Macaca fascicularis: one gene and its partners. The protein of the gene in region 2 interacts with the protein of the main gene of each other region in a pairwise test. Links are inferred from orthologs where the notes say so. Each region holds a gene or a part of one and is shown on either strand. Other genes may lie near its edges.

Region 1 (3,651 bases), on a different chromosome or scaffold from region 2:
AAGGCAAATGGGTATTCATTGATTTTCTTTTTCTGTAGATTTAGCGTTTTTCAAAATAAAAGTAGAAGATAATTAAATTTCGTTTTGTATCTCAGGAAATAGTAGAGTGCCAGATAAACTAGTAATGCATTATCTTAGTGTGCTGTGCTAAGCATATTTGCTACTAAAAGCACTACTGAAATGGCAAGTGTGATTGGTTATTTTAAAAATTCTGAGTATGTTTGAACTTATTCAGTTCACATTTAAATCATACTGGAACAGCACATGTCTGTGGGCTGGCTCTCCAAGTAAAAAATACATTAATGAGCTTTTTGTGCCAATTACTGATTTTCAGGAAATGTTCTTTAAACTACTGATAAGAGTTCTGGAGATCCATGTCATACTAACAGGTGAACAAAGTAATTCATAGGAGTTACACTTGATGCAGTCTAATTTTCTAACACCAGGCTAAGTTTTTTTTTTTTTTTTTTTTTGAGAAGCGTTTCCGGTGCCTGAAAACTGATATTTATATTTTTCGTGAAGGATCTCAGATTCTTTGTTCTCATAGTAGATATCTTCACAGTCTATAAAGAAAACCCAGGTGGTTTTTGTTTTTGTTTTTGATTTTTGTTTTTTGTTTTTTTCAATTTTTAGTTACTGCTACAGAGGCACATAGGAATTTAAATGATTCCATGAGTCATGCAGTGAATTGGTAATAATACTAATGGATACACAGTTATTGACTCTTCTTTGCATTGGCCTCATTTTTCCCCCTGAATGTTAATATGTCATTTCTCAGCAAAATTATTTGTAAAGTAAAACATCTAACAACACCACCAAAATCTTGTAACAGCAAAAGGAAGAGCCGAGCTTCTGAAGATCAACCTTCGTGAGGTCGAATTAGATCCTGATATTCAACTGGAAGATATAGCCGAGAAGATTGAGGGCTATTCTGGTGCTGACATCACTAATGTTTGCAGGTATTTTTTTAATGATCTGTGATGTTAGACATTAGTTATAGACTTGGCAGGAGGACTAGTCTTAAAGTCAATGTAGTTAGCCCAGTGTAGTTAGACATGAAAGCAGCTACCCATTTCTTTGAAATGGTTTCCCATTTGTCCTTTTTTTTTCCCATATAACTTTATTCTTCATTGTGAGATGAAAATTATATAGCATTGGTCACTTATGTTTTTGATCTTTGGATTTTAAAGAAATTGTTGTGTCGGTGGCTCGTGCCTGTAAGCCCAGCACTTTGGGAGACTGAGGCAGGCAGATCACGAGGTCAGGAGGTCGAGACTATCTTGGCTAACACAGTGAAATCCCGTCTCTACTAAAAATACAAAATATTAGCTGGGCGTGGTGGCGGGCGCCTGTAGTCCCAGCTACTCGGGAGGCTGAGGCAGGAGAATGGCGTGAACCCGGGAGGCGGAGCTTGTAGTGAGCTGCGATGGTGCCACTGCACTCCAGCCTGGGAGACAGCGAGACTCCGTCGCAAAAAAAAAAAAAAAAAAACTTGTGTCTAACTTGATGATAACGACTTTGACAACCTAAGATTAGTTTAGCTTTGTGTTGGAGCCTTTCTACATCAACATAAAGTAATATTATTTAGTTTTGGTTGGCATTATTTAAACACATGCCGATGAGCAAAAATGATCAGTGTAAGCTGGGGAAGATACACATTTAACATTTTTTCAGTTTAGCGACATCATAATTTTTAGACACCTCCTGTCACTCTGTGCAGTTATTTTTTTCCTTATTTTTCTAACTGTACTTAAATTGACTGTAGTAGCCTTTCTTTAAAGCTGTAGCATCTGTTTTTCTCACCTTTTCTGCTCGCATTTTTCCCATGTGCATCCAAGTTTAGTGGCATACAATAAGGTCACAATAGTTTCTACCGCTACTATAGTGAAATATTTAAGAACTTGACATTTTTGTTGGCTTGGCCTTCCTAATAGCTTTTTTGTGTTTATGAATTATCCTTTTCTTCCATACCTTCATATTTATGATGGTCATATTTATGTTGGTCAAAAAGAGCTGCACATGATGGTCATATTTATGTTGGTCATATTTATGTTGGTCAAAAAGAGCTGCACATGGGATCAAGAGAAGCCAGAGTTTATGCCTTTAGTTGCCTGCAAATACTCCATGTAGGGAATTCCGTGTCCACTGTATGTGGATATTCATGTTTCAGAGAGAGTGATTTGTGGCTTTATTCCTCTATTTAGGCTGTAGACAAACTGGTCTGTGATTTGAATTATCTTAACATTAGCCACGTGTTCATTTCCAAGTGTACAATTCAGTATTTCAAAATTCGACTTTGGTTTCTTAAACTTCTTGGCTGTCTTTGAGGAGCAAGTGGGAAAATATAATTCAGTACTGTTTGAGCTTAACTTAGACTTTTAGGGTTCATTAACTGTACATTTCATGTTTCTGGTTATTTGCATCCTGTTTTAACTTCTGCCGAACCCCCAGGATGTTTCTTAAGTGGAAAATTCTAAGAAGCCTCATAGAAAACATATAATCTTTTGATTGTTTTTTCATAACTTTGTTACAATTGAAAGTGTTTAAAACATGTGCAAAAATTACTGTTGACTGACTGTGGTGTATTTTTAGGGATGCCTCTTTAATGGCAATGAGACGGCGTATCAATGGCTTAGGTCCAGAAGAGATCCGTGCACTTTCTAAAGAGGAACTTCAGATGCCTGTTACCAAAGGAGACTTTGAATTGGCCCTAAAGAAAATTGCTAAGTCTGTCTCTGCTGCAGACTTGGAGAAGTATGAAAAATGGATGGTTGAATTTGGATCTGCTTGAATTTCTGTCAACTCTTTAATTTCTGGTATTTTTGTTTATAAAATATGAAGAAATTCCTGCAATTTTTAAAAAACAGATTTGGAATTTTTTTTCAGTGGAGTGATTTTCACCTAAAGGAAAAAAAACATCTAAAACTGTGAAGAATACTAAATGTAGTTGAGAAATAATTCAGGGCGAGAGTTTGCTAGTCTCCCTTCCCTCGCTTTGTACTGGTATTCCACGTGTTCCTGCATTAATATTGCACACCCAAGCCAGTCTATCAGGGAGGCTGAAGAGAGGGAGCAGTGTGCTATTTTAGAAACTTGTTTACAGAAGATTTAGAAATACCCCTATTTCTCATTTGCAGTTGTTTTTCTTTGTTTTTGTTTTTGTTTTTTTCCACTTCTTTGCTCTGTCAACATGAGGGACCTATCTATACAGGTTGACTTTTAACATCAAAATTGGATTTGTGTCACACTCTGTATTTATTGTTAAGAGAAGAATGACAGTATATTTTGGAGGAAATAATTTACTGATTAAACCTTTAGAATTTATGACTTACTGTTAGGAGTCTGTCATATGGTTAGAATTTTTACTTCCCCTCCCGCTGCCATTTATTCTACTAGCTACTTAATAACGTCTGGAGCTTTATTGAGGAATATTCTCACGCTCTGTGGTATTTGAATCATTTTGCCAGGTCATTTCTCTGTCTTTAGTATTTTTTTGCTGGTGCTTCTTATACTTAATATGGAAAGGTGGGAAGAATATTGCATTAGATGTAATTCTTCATTCTAGACTTCCAAGTGTGTTTTCACTTTTCTTGTGTGTGTGAAGGAGTCTCACTCTGTCACCCGGGCTGTGTAGTGCAGTGGCATGATCTT
Region 2 (3,751 bases):
AGTGAGCTATGACTTCACTGCAGCCTGGGTGACACAGTGAGACTCTGCCTCAGGCAAAAAGAAAGAGGCCAGGCACGGTGGCTCATGTCTGTAATCCAGCACTTTGCAAGGCTGAGGTGGGTGGATCACTTGAGGTCAGGAATTCGAGACCAGCCTGACCAACATGGTGAAACCCTGTCTCTACTAAAAATACAAAATTAGCCAGGTATGGTGGTGCATGCCTGTAATCCCAGCTACTTGGGAGGCCAAGGATGAAGAATTGCTTAAACTTGGGAGGTGGAGGTTGCAGTGAGCCAAGATTGTGCCATTGCACTCCAGCCTGGGCAACAAGAGCAAAACTCCATCGAAGAGAGAGAGAAAAAGAAAGAGAGAGAGAGAGAAAGAAAAGTAGTCATTTTAAAAAAGTCAGATCATGCCCTCATCTGCACAAAACTCTCCAATGCTTTCCCAACTCAATTAAAAATGTTAGTCCTTTCAGTCACGTACATGTTCTCCCACCATTACTTCCTTTCTCTGTGACCTCATGTTATTCTCTTTGTACTCATTGTGTTCCAGCCACACTAGCCTTCTTGCTATTTCTCAAATGTGCACTCAGGCTCCTGCCTTTGCACTAACTCTCTTCATTAGAATGCTATTTGCCCAGGCATCTATATGGTTTATTCCCTCCCCTACTTCATATCTCCTCAATTGTCCCCTTCTGGATTAGGTCTTTTCTAACCACTTTATTTAAAAGTAAACCTAGCCCCTCACATCCTGACACTCCCCATTCCCCTTCCCAGTTGTTTTATTCTCCACTGCATTTGTCTTCATTTCATTTACTAAATGTTTTACATATTTATTTACTATCTCTTCTCAGTAGAATGTAAGCTCTATGACAGTAAGAATTTTTATATATTGTGGTCAGTGCTGTATCCTCAATGTCCTGTTATATAAAAGGGACTCAACAGAAATTTGTTGAGTAAATGTGTGGGTGAAATGGAATATGAGAACCAATGAGTGAAAAATGGTCTGTATGGTTGATCTGGAGAGCAGTATATGAAGTGAGTCTGAAAGAGTACCAGATGATGTCAGGCTTTATAAAGGAGTTTTGCCTTTATTTTAACAGTAGCAGGACACCACTGAATAGTTTTAACCAAGAGAAAATCTGATCAGATCTGCAGTTTCAAAAAAATCATTCTGGTAGCTATAATGGAGAACTAATGGAGGAGGGTCATTGTGAATAACTGCTACTGTAGTGGTCTTGAGAGATTACCACAGTTTGAAGACAGGTGGAGAGAAAAATATATTTGAAGGATATTTTGGGAGATAAGATTGGCAGAACTTGGTAATAATTTAGCCATAAAAGTATGAAGGGCAAGAAGAAATAAAGAATAATGTTTGGCTTTCAAATTTTCACAAGTAGATGGATGGTAGTGTCCTTTGCTGAAATAAGGAACACTGAAAAAGAATCAGATTTGTAACAGATAACTATGTATTTGATTTTAGGAATGTTGAGTTTGAGATGCTTTTGAGATATCCAAGAAGAAATATCCAAGAGATAGATATGTGAAAGCTGAGAGGTGAAGCTGAATGGAGCTATTCATTTGAGAGTCATAAGTGTTGGTGAAGCCATGGGTACACGTGAGATCATATTTAACTACAGCATAAAAAGGCACCCAGCCTTAAGAAACTACCCTACCCTTTATGGGCTGGATAGAGGATGATCATCCCAAAAAGGAGATAAAAACGGAATGGTTTTGTTTTGTTTTCTCAATCACATTCATAAGTTATTCCCTTTTCAAAATTCGGATTCAAACTAGAAGTGTTAGAATGTAACAGGCTTTTGAAATTCGACCAATTCATCAGAACTATGCATCTATTCAAAAATAGCTCACTTACAGAAACAATGTAAAGAATTCACAATATGTGTCTCTTTGTAGCTTCAAAGTACATCAATACACAAAAAGCACCCTTCCCTTCCCACCCCACACCGCCAAGTATGTATGATTTGGCTTACTGACGTTTCCTGAAAGTACCCTATCTCTCGCTCTGGGCCTTAGCATATGCTGTTCTTTTGATCTTCATTTCCGCTGGGATGAAGATTTCCCTGGCTTTCCAAGACTGGGCTAAGTGATCTCCTTCTAGGCATCCCAGTGATATCATATAGTATTGTAACTGTATGTCTAACAACTGGTTCCTCTTAACTGGATAAGACTGTCTTTCTCATTGTTGTATATTCAGTGCCTAGCAAGATGAAAGTTTTAGAATTTAATGTAATGCAATTCTGCAACATAAAGAATTAAAATCTACACCGATTATCAGTCCACTGATGGCCGTTCAAACCTCGACTTTTCTCAAATAATGACTTTCTAAAAGCAAATAAAGCCCAGCACATCCCTAAGCAAAGGCAAACAAAGGTGCAAATGCGCAGAGATCCCAAATCCATCCCGCGCCTGCCCACAGAAAAGGGTGGAAGCAGAAGCAGCAGCCCGAAGCTCCAGTTTCCACAGCATCCTTCCTTCTTAGGCCGCTCCCTGCGACCCTCGGGATCAGGATCCCTAAATCCTCGCCTCACCCACCACACCCCGCGCTTGGGCAGCTGGACTAGTCCTTCCCACGCAAGCCACTGGAAAAATCCTTGGACTAAGGGAGGCCACGCTAGATGGCTTCGTCTCCAAAATCCCAGAGGAAATGGAGGAAGGAAAAACCCTGTCAAGGAAAGGTGACAACCCAGCCTACAGTGCTTACCAAGCAGACACTCTCAGTCAGCCCCTGCCACCGCTAACCGTTGGTTCGCGGGCAGCCACAGGCGACGTCGCAGTGGCCTCTGGGGATTGTAGTTTCTGTCGCAAACAAAACGCGCCGGCAGCATCAAAACTACATTCCCCACAAGTCAACGCGAAGACGTCCCACCGACTTAAATCTGGGGTTTGGAGTAATAAAGAGGCCGTCACTACTTTTACGGTGATCTTAAATGTAGACTCAATTTCGTCCAGGAGTCCCTTCGTGCCCTTTTTCTTTGTCGTGCTTGTTTTGTGTGTGACGAAGTCTCAGTGTACTTCTACGCCTTACTTTTTCCTTCCCCTTCTCCAGGACACACTCCAAACATCCGGGAACGGAAACCGCCCCAGGGCGCAAGCTTAGAGCCTCCGGAGGCGCTTGTGCCCTGTTCTAAGTCACGCATGCGTAGCAGCCGGCAGCGGTTGGCAGCCGCGCGCGGCGCACTGGGGGTCCGGAGGTAGCCTGCCAGAGGGCGGGGCTTTTTCCAATGGCTTTGCCTCGGCGGGTCGCGTCTGCCTGGGCGGGGAAGAAGGCGCTGGGGCCGGGGTGGCTCCCGGTTTGTGCCGGGCGGAGAAAGGGGAGGGGCTGGGGGTGAGGACCCCGTCTCCCCTCCCTGCTCCCGCCCTCTGGGCTGATCCCCACCGATGGGGCTGGGCGAAGGGCGGGCTTTGCGCCTTGGGCCCCGCCGCCCCGCCAGCTCCGCGGCCCAGCCCTGCGCTCGAGGATTGCCAGGGCCGCCCTATGCCCTCTGGCTCGGCGGTGGTGGGCGAGGGTGCAGGGATCGGAGAAGTAGCGTCTTCCCGGGGGTCCGGAATTGGCGGGGCTGGGGACGCTTTTTTTCGTCGCCGCCCGCCGAGACAGCGGCTGCCCGAGACTGCCGCCCTCCAGCAGCGCCAAAGCCTCCGGCCGCTGCGGCCAGTGGGCCAGGGTTCGGCGAGCCTTCCCTGCCGGCGCCCGGCCGGCTGCTGAGGCGCTGGGAGGAGCTGCGGAG
Region 3 (3,651 bases), on a different chromosome or scaffold from region 2:
AGTATTGTATGGAGATATGTAAAAATATCAATATGGTTTCTGTGGATATGGAGATTGATGACAAATTTGAATCTTATATTTATTTTTTATCTTTTCTATGAGAAGCATGCAGACTTTAAAAAAACTACCTCATAAGCAGAAAAAGTTACTTCAATAGCAAAAAGATCCATTTATATGAAGTTCTGGAAAAGGCCAAACTATTGGGATGGAAAACAGATCAGTGGTTGCCTGGGCCTGGGGGACCTTTTGGTGGGGTCACAAGACTGGATACAACTATATCCATTAGTCAAACTTCAGACAAAGAGAAAGGTACTCTATGTAAATTATACCTCAATAAACCTTTCTAAAAAGAAAAAATGTAGGAAAACAAAACAAAACAAAACAACAAAAAAACAACAAGACAATTCCTGATTCCCGTAGCTATTTATGGTGCAAAGCTGTAGCTGACCCAGGGAAGCTGGAATATGTCCCTTTCCTAAAGGGCCACTTTGGGGTTCAGAAGCTGACATTTAAGGGAAATAAAGAGCTAGCAATAACTAGAAATCAAGTTCATTGGCCAAGTCTGCTTCCTCACCACCACTGCCATGCCAAGGTCCCGGGCCAGGGTCTTCAGCTCTCGGGCCAGCTGCATCATCAAGGCCAAGCCTGCAGGACGAGGAGAAGCAGAGAGGCAGGGCAGTGGAAAACCAGGGACGGGGCTGGCCAGAGACCAGACTCCAGAGCTGGGAGGCGAGGTCACGTTCCACTGGCCCCAGGCTCTGCCACATCACTCACCTTCCCTCTGCTGACCTCCCAGAAGTGGGGAGACCACCGCAGTGACCGAGTCCACCACCACCACCTTCATAGTCCCTGAAGAACCAGTCACCTAAAGGAATGTGGGGGAAGCACTCATGAACCTGTTGGCCTCTAGGACACATTACAGGACAAGCTTGCTTTTCTATCTAAAACTAGTAAGAAATAGCCCCCCTCATCCCAAATACAGCAGGCTGCACGGGCATCACAGAATGTCATCAGCAGCAATGTCTCCCTCGTCCCATTGGTATGTATAACAGACTTCAGTGAAGACTTGGGTAGAAAGAAAGGGTTTAAATCACAGGACATCAAAACTACACTAAAGTGGCCAGGAACAATGGTTCACGCCTGTAATCCCAGCACTTTGGGAGGCCAAGGTGGCGGATCACTTGAGGTCAGGAGTTCGAGACCAGCCTGGCCAACATGGTGAAACCCCATCTCCACTAAACATACAAAAATTAGCCGGGCGTGGTGGTGCACACCTGTAATCCCAGCTACTTAGGAGGGTGAGGCATGACAGTCACTTGAACCTAAAAGGCAGAGGTTGCAGTTAGCTGAGATCATGCCATTGCACTCTAGCCTGGGTGACAGAGCAAGACTTAAGGAATTTATTTGGAGGCATTTTAGATATGGAAGATGAGGACTGGAGGCATGATCTAGAAGAAGACAGTGAAGTAAAGAGAAGGCTAAACTCTTCAGCCAAGGAAGTTAGGAATTTGAGGTTAGTAGTTAGCAGGACAGGGGAAAGAAAGGAGGGAGTTGGGCCGGGTGCGGTGGCTTAAGCCTGTAATCCCAGCACTTTGGGAGGCCGAGACGGGCAGATCACGAGGTCAAGAGATCGAGACCATCCTGGCTAACACGGTGAAACCCCGTCTCTACTACAAAATACAAAAAAAACTAGCCGGGCGAGGTGGCGGGCGCCTGTAGTCCCAGCTACTCGGGAGGCTGAGGCAGGAGAATGACGTGAACCCGGGAGGCGGAGCTTGCAGTGAGCTGAGATCCAGCCACTGCACTCCAGCCTGGGCAACAGAGCGAGACTCCATCTCAAAAAAAAAAAAAAAAAAAAAAGGAGGGGGTCGGAAAAGAAGGGCCTTACCACCACGGTGGGAGGCTGGACACAGGAGAGAGATGGCTGCTGAGAGATCCATGACCAGAGGTCTCAGTACTCTACATGGGGCTTTCTGAAATTTGATGACTTTAGGGTAGTGTAGTTTTCAGTTAATTTTTTTTTTTTTTTTTTTTTTTGAGACAGTCTTGCTCTTTCGCCCAGGCTGGAGTGCAGTGGTGCTATCTCAGTTCACTACAACCCCCGCCTCCCAAGTTCAAGCGATTCTCCTGCCTCAGCCTCCTGAGTAGCTGTGATTACAGGTGTGCACTACCACACCCGGCTAATTTTTGTAATTTTAGCAGAGATGGGGTTTTACCATGTTGGCCAGGCTGGTCTCGAAATCCTGGCTTCAAGTGATCTGGCCACCTTGGCCTCCCAAAATGCCGGAATTACAGGCATGAGCCACCATGCCTGGCCTGGTGCCATCTTTCTAACCATAATTTTCTGTCTTTACACAAGAAGGAGCATCCTCCTGGTTTCCCTGGACTTAAACTGTTTTTGATGCTTCTTTTGTCTTCTCCCTTACTTCTTATATCCTGATTCTGGTTCTTTTTCTTTTCTTTTCTTCCTGTCTTTCTTTCTCTCTCTCTCTTTCTTTCCTTTCTTTATTTCTTTCTTTCCTCTCTTTTCTTTTCTTTCTTTCCCTCCCTCCCTTCCTTCCTTCCTTCCTTTTCTTTTTTCAGGGTCTTGTTATGTTGCCCAGGCTGGTCTTGAACTCCTGGGCTCAAGCGATCCTCCTGCCTTGGCCTTCCAAAACATTGGGATTATAGGCGTGAGCCACCGCTCCCAGCCTCAGATTCTTAACCCCTAGAAACTGTGAGATAAAAAATCCAAGTCTTAAGCCACCAAGGTTTTGGTAACTTATTATGCAGTAATAGAAGATATACCATCTAATGGTCCTACAGTAAAAAAATACAGTCTTCTGATCTGGAATTGAGAGATTTGGGCTATACGGTTAGTTCTTGTCCTAAATATGTGGTCAATTTTGGTCAACTCACTTCACTTCTCTGGCCTTCACTCTTCTCATCTCTAAAAGTGAGATCAGCACTACTCAGCATCATGTCTCAACAAACTGGTGGGTCATAACCAGCTATGACTTCTGAGAAAAGTATTTGTTCAACTTTTTTTTTTTTTTTTTTAAAGACGGGGTCTAGCTGTGCTGCCCAGGGTAAGGTACAGTGGCATGATCATAGCTCACTGCAACCTCCAACTCCTGGGCTCAAGCAATCCTCCCGTCTCAGCCTCTGGAGTCATTAGGATTACAGGTGTGGGCCACCACTTCCAGCTTGTTCAACTATTATATGTTCTAAAGTTTGTAAAAATCGTTGACTTTATATATAGTTGCGGGGATGCCTGTGCGAACATGTCGTGCTTTGGGGTGAGAGGAAAAGTTTGAGATGAACTATTCTATCTTTAAGGTATCCTCCACATCTAGTCATTTATAAATCAGTGCACCAAATCTTGTCTAAGCATCCAACATGAATAGCAAAGTACCAACCCAAATGCCATTCTAAATCCTCCCCGTTAACACGACTCTGAATGTGTTTGGGCACTGGGCAGAAATCTGACTTCAGGGATAGTGGGCCCAGGCCTTAGTCCAAGATACACACATAACTCCATTTTGGCCAACTAGATGTAAGGGGAAGAGGGACATATTAGTGGGCTCTGGAGAAAGATTCTTCATCCCTGATAAAAGGGAGGAGGTACAGAAAAGAACCATCTATCTTTTACTGCTTTGAATATGGATGTGG

Evidence for each region.
Region 1: the proteins of CEP57L1 (region 2) and KATNAL1 interact in binary tests that used the Homo sapiens proteins (3 or more experiments, as listed by UniProt). The two-hybrid records come from large-scale screens. The link is inferred for Macaca fascicularis from reciprocal best matches to the Homo sapiens genes CEP57L1 and KATNAL1.
Region 3: the proteins of CEP57L1 (region 2) and RAD51D interact in binary tests that used the Homo sapiens proteins (3 or more experiments, as listed by UniProt). The two-hybrid records come from large-scale screens. The link is inferred for Macaca fascicularis from reciprocal best matches to the Homo sapiens genes CEP57L1 and RAD51D.

Annotation. Positions count from the first base shown.
Region 1 is NC_088391.1:10,004,573-10,008,223, reverse strand, and holds part of KATNAL1 (katanin p60 ATPase-containing subunit A-like 1), read left to right. Parts: exon of another isoform or gene 1-61; intron 62-832; coding exon 833-959; intron 960-2,592; coding exon 2,593-2,791; 3' UTR 2,792-3,651. UniProt on the Homo sapiens protein: Regulates microtubule dynamics in Sertoli cells, a process that is essential for spermiogenesis and male fertility. Severs microtubules in an ATP-dependent manner, promoting rapid reorganization of cellular microtubule arrays.
Region 2 is NC_088378.1:13,195,851-13,199,601, reverse strand, and holds the start of CEP57L1 (centrosomal protein CEP57L1), read right to left. Parts: upstream 2,809-3,751; 5' UTR 2,728-2,808; intron 1-2,727. UniProt on the Homo sapiens protein: Centrosomal protein which may be required for microtubule attachment to centrosomes.
Region 3 is NC_088390.1:41,441,461-41,445,111, forward strand, and holds part of RAD51D (DNA repair protein RAD51 homolog 4), read right to left. Parts: intron 866-3,651; coding exon 775-865; intron 646-774; coding exon 575-645; intron 1-574. UniProt on the Homo sapiens protein: Involved in the homologous recombination repair (HRR) pathway of double-stranded DNA breaks arising during DNA replication or induced by DNA-damaging agents. Bind to single-stranded DNA (ssDNA) and has DNA-dependent ATPase activity.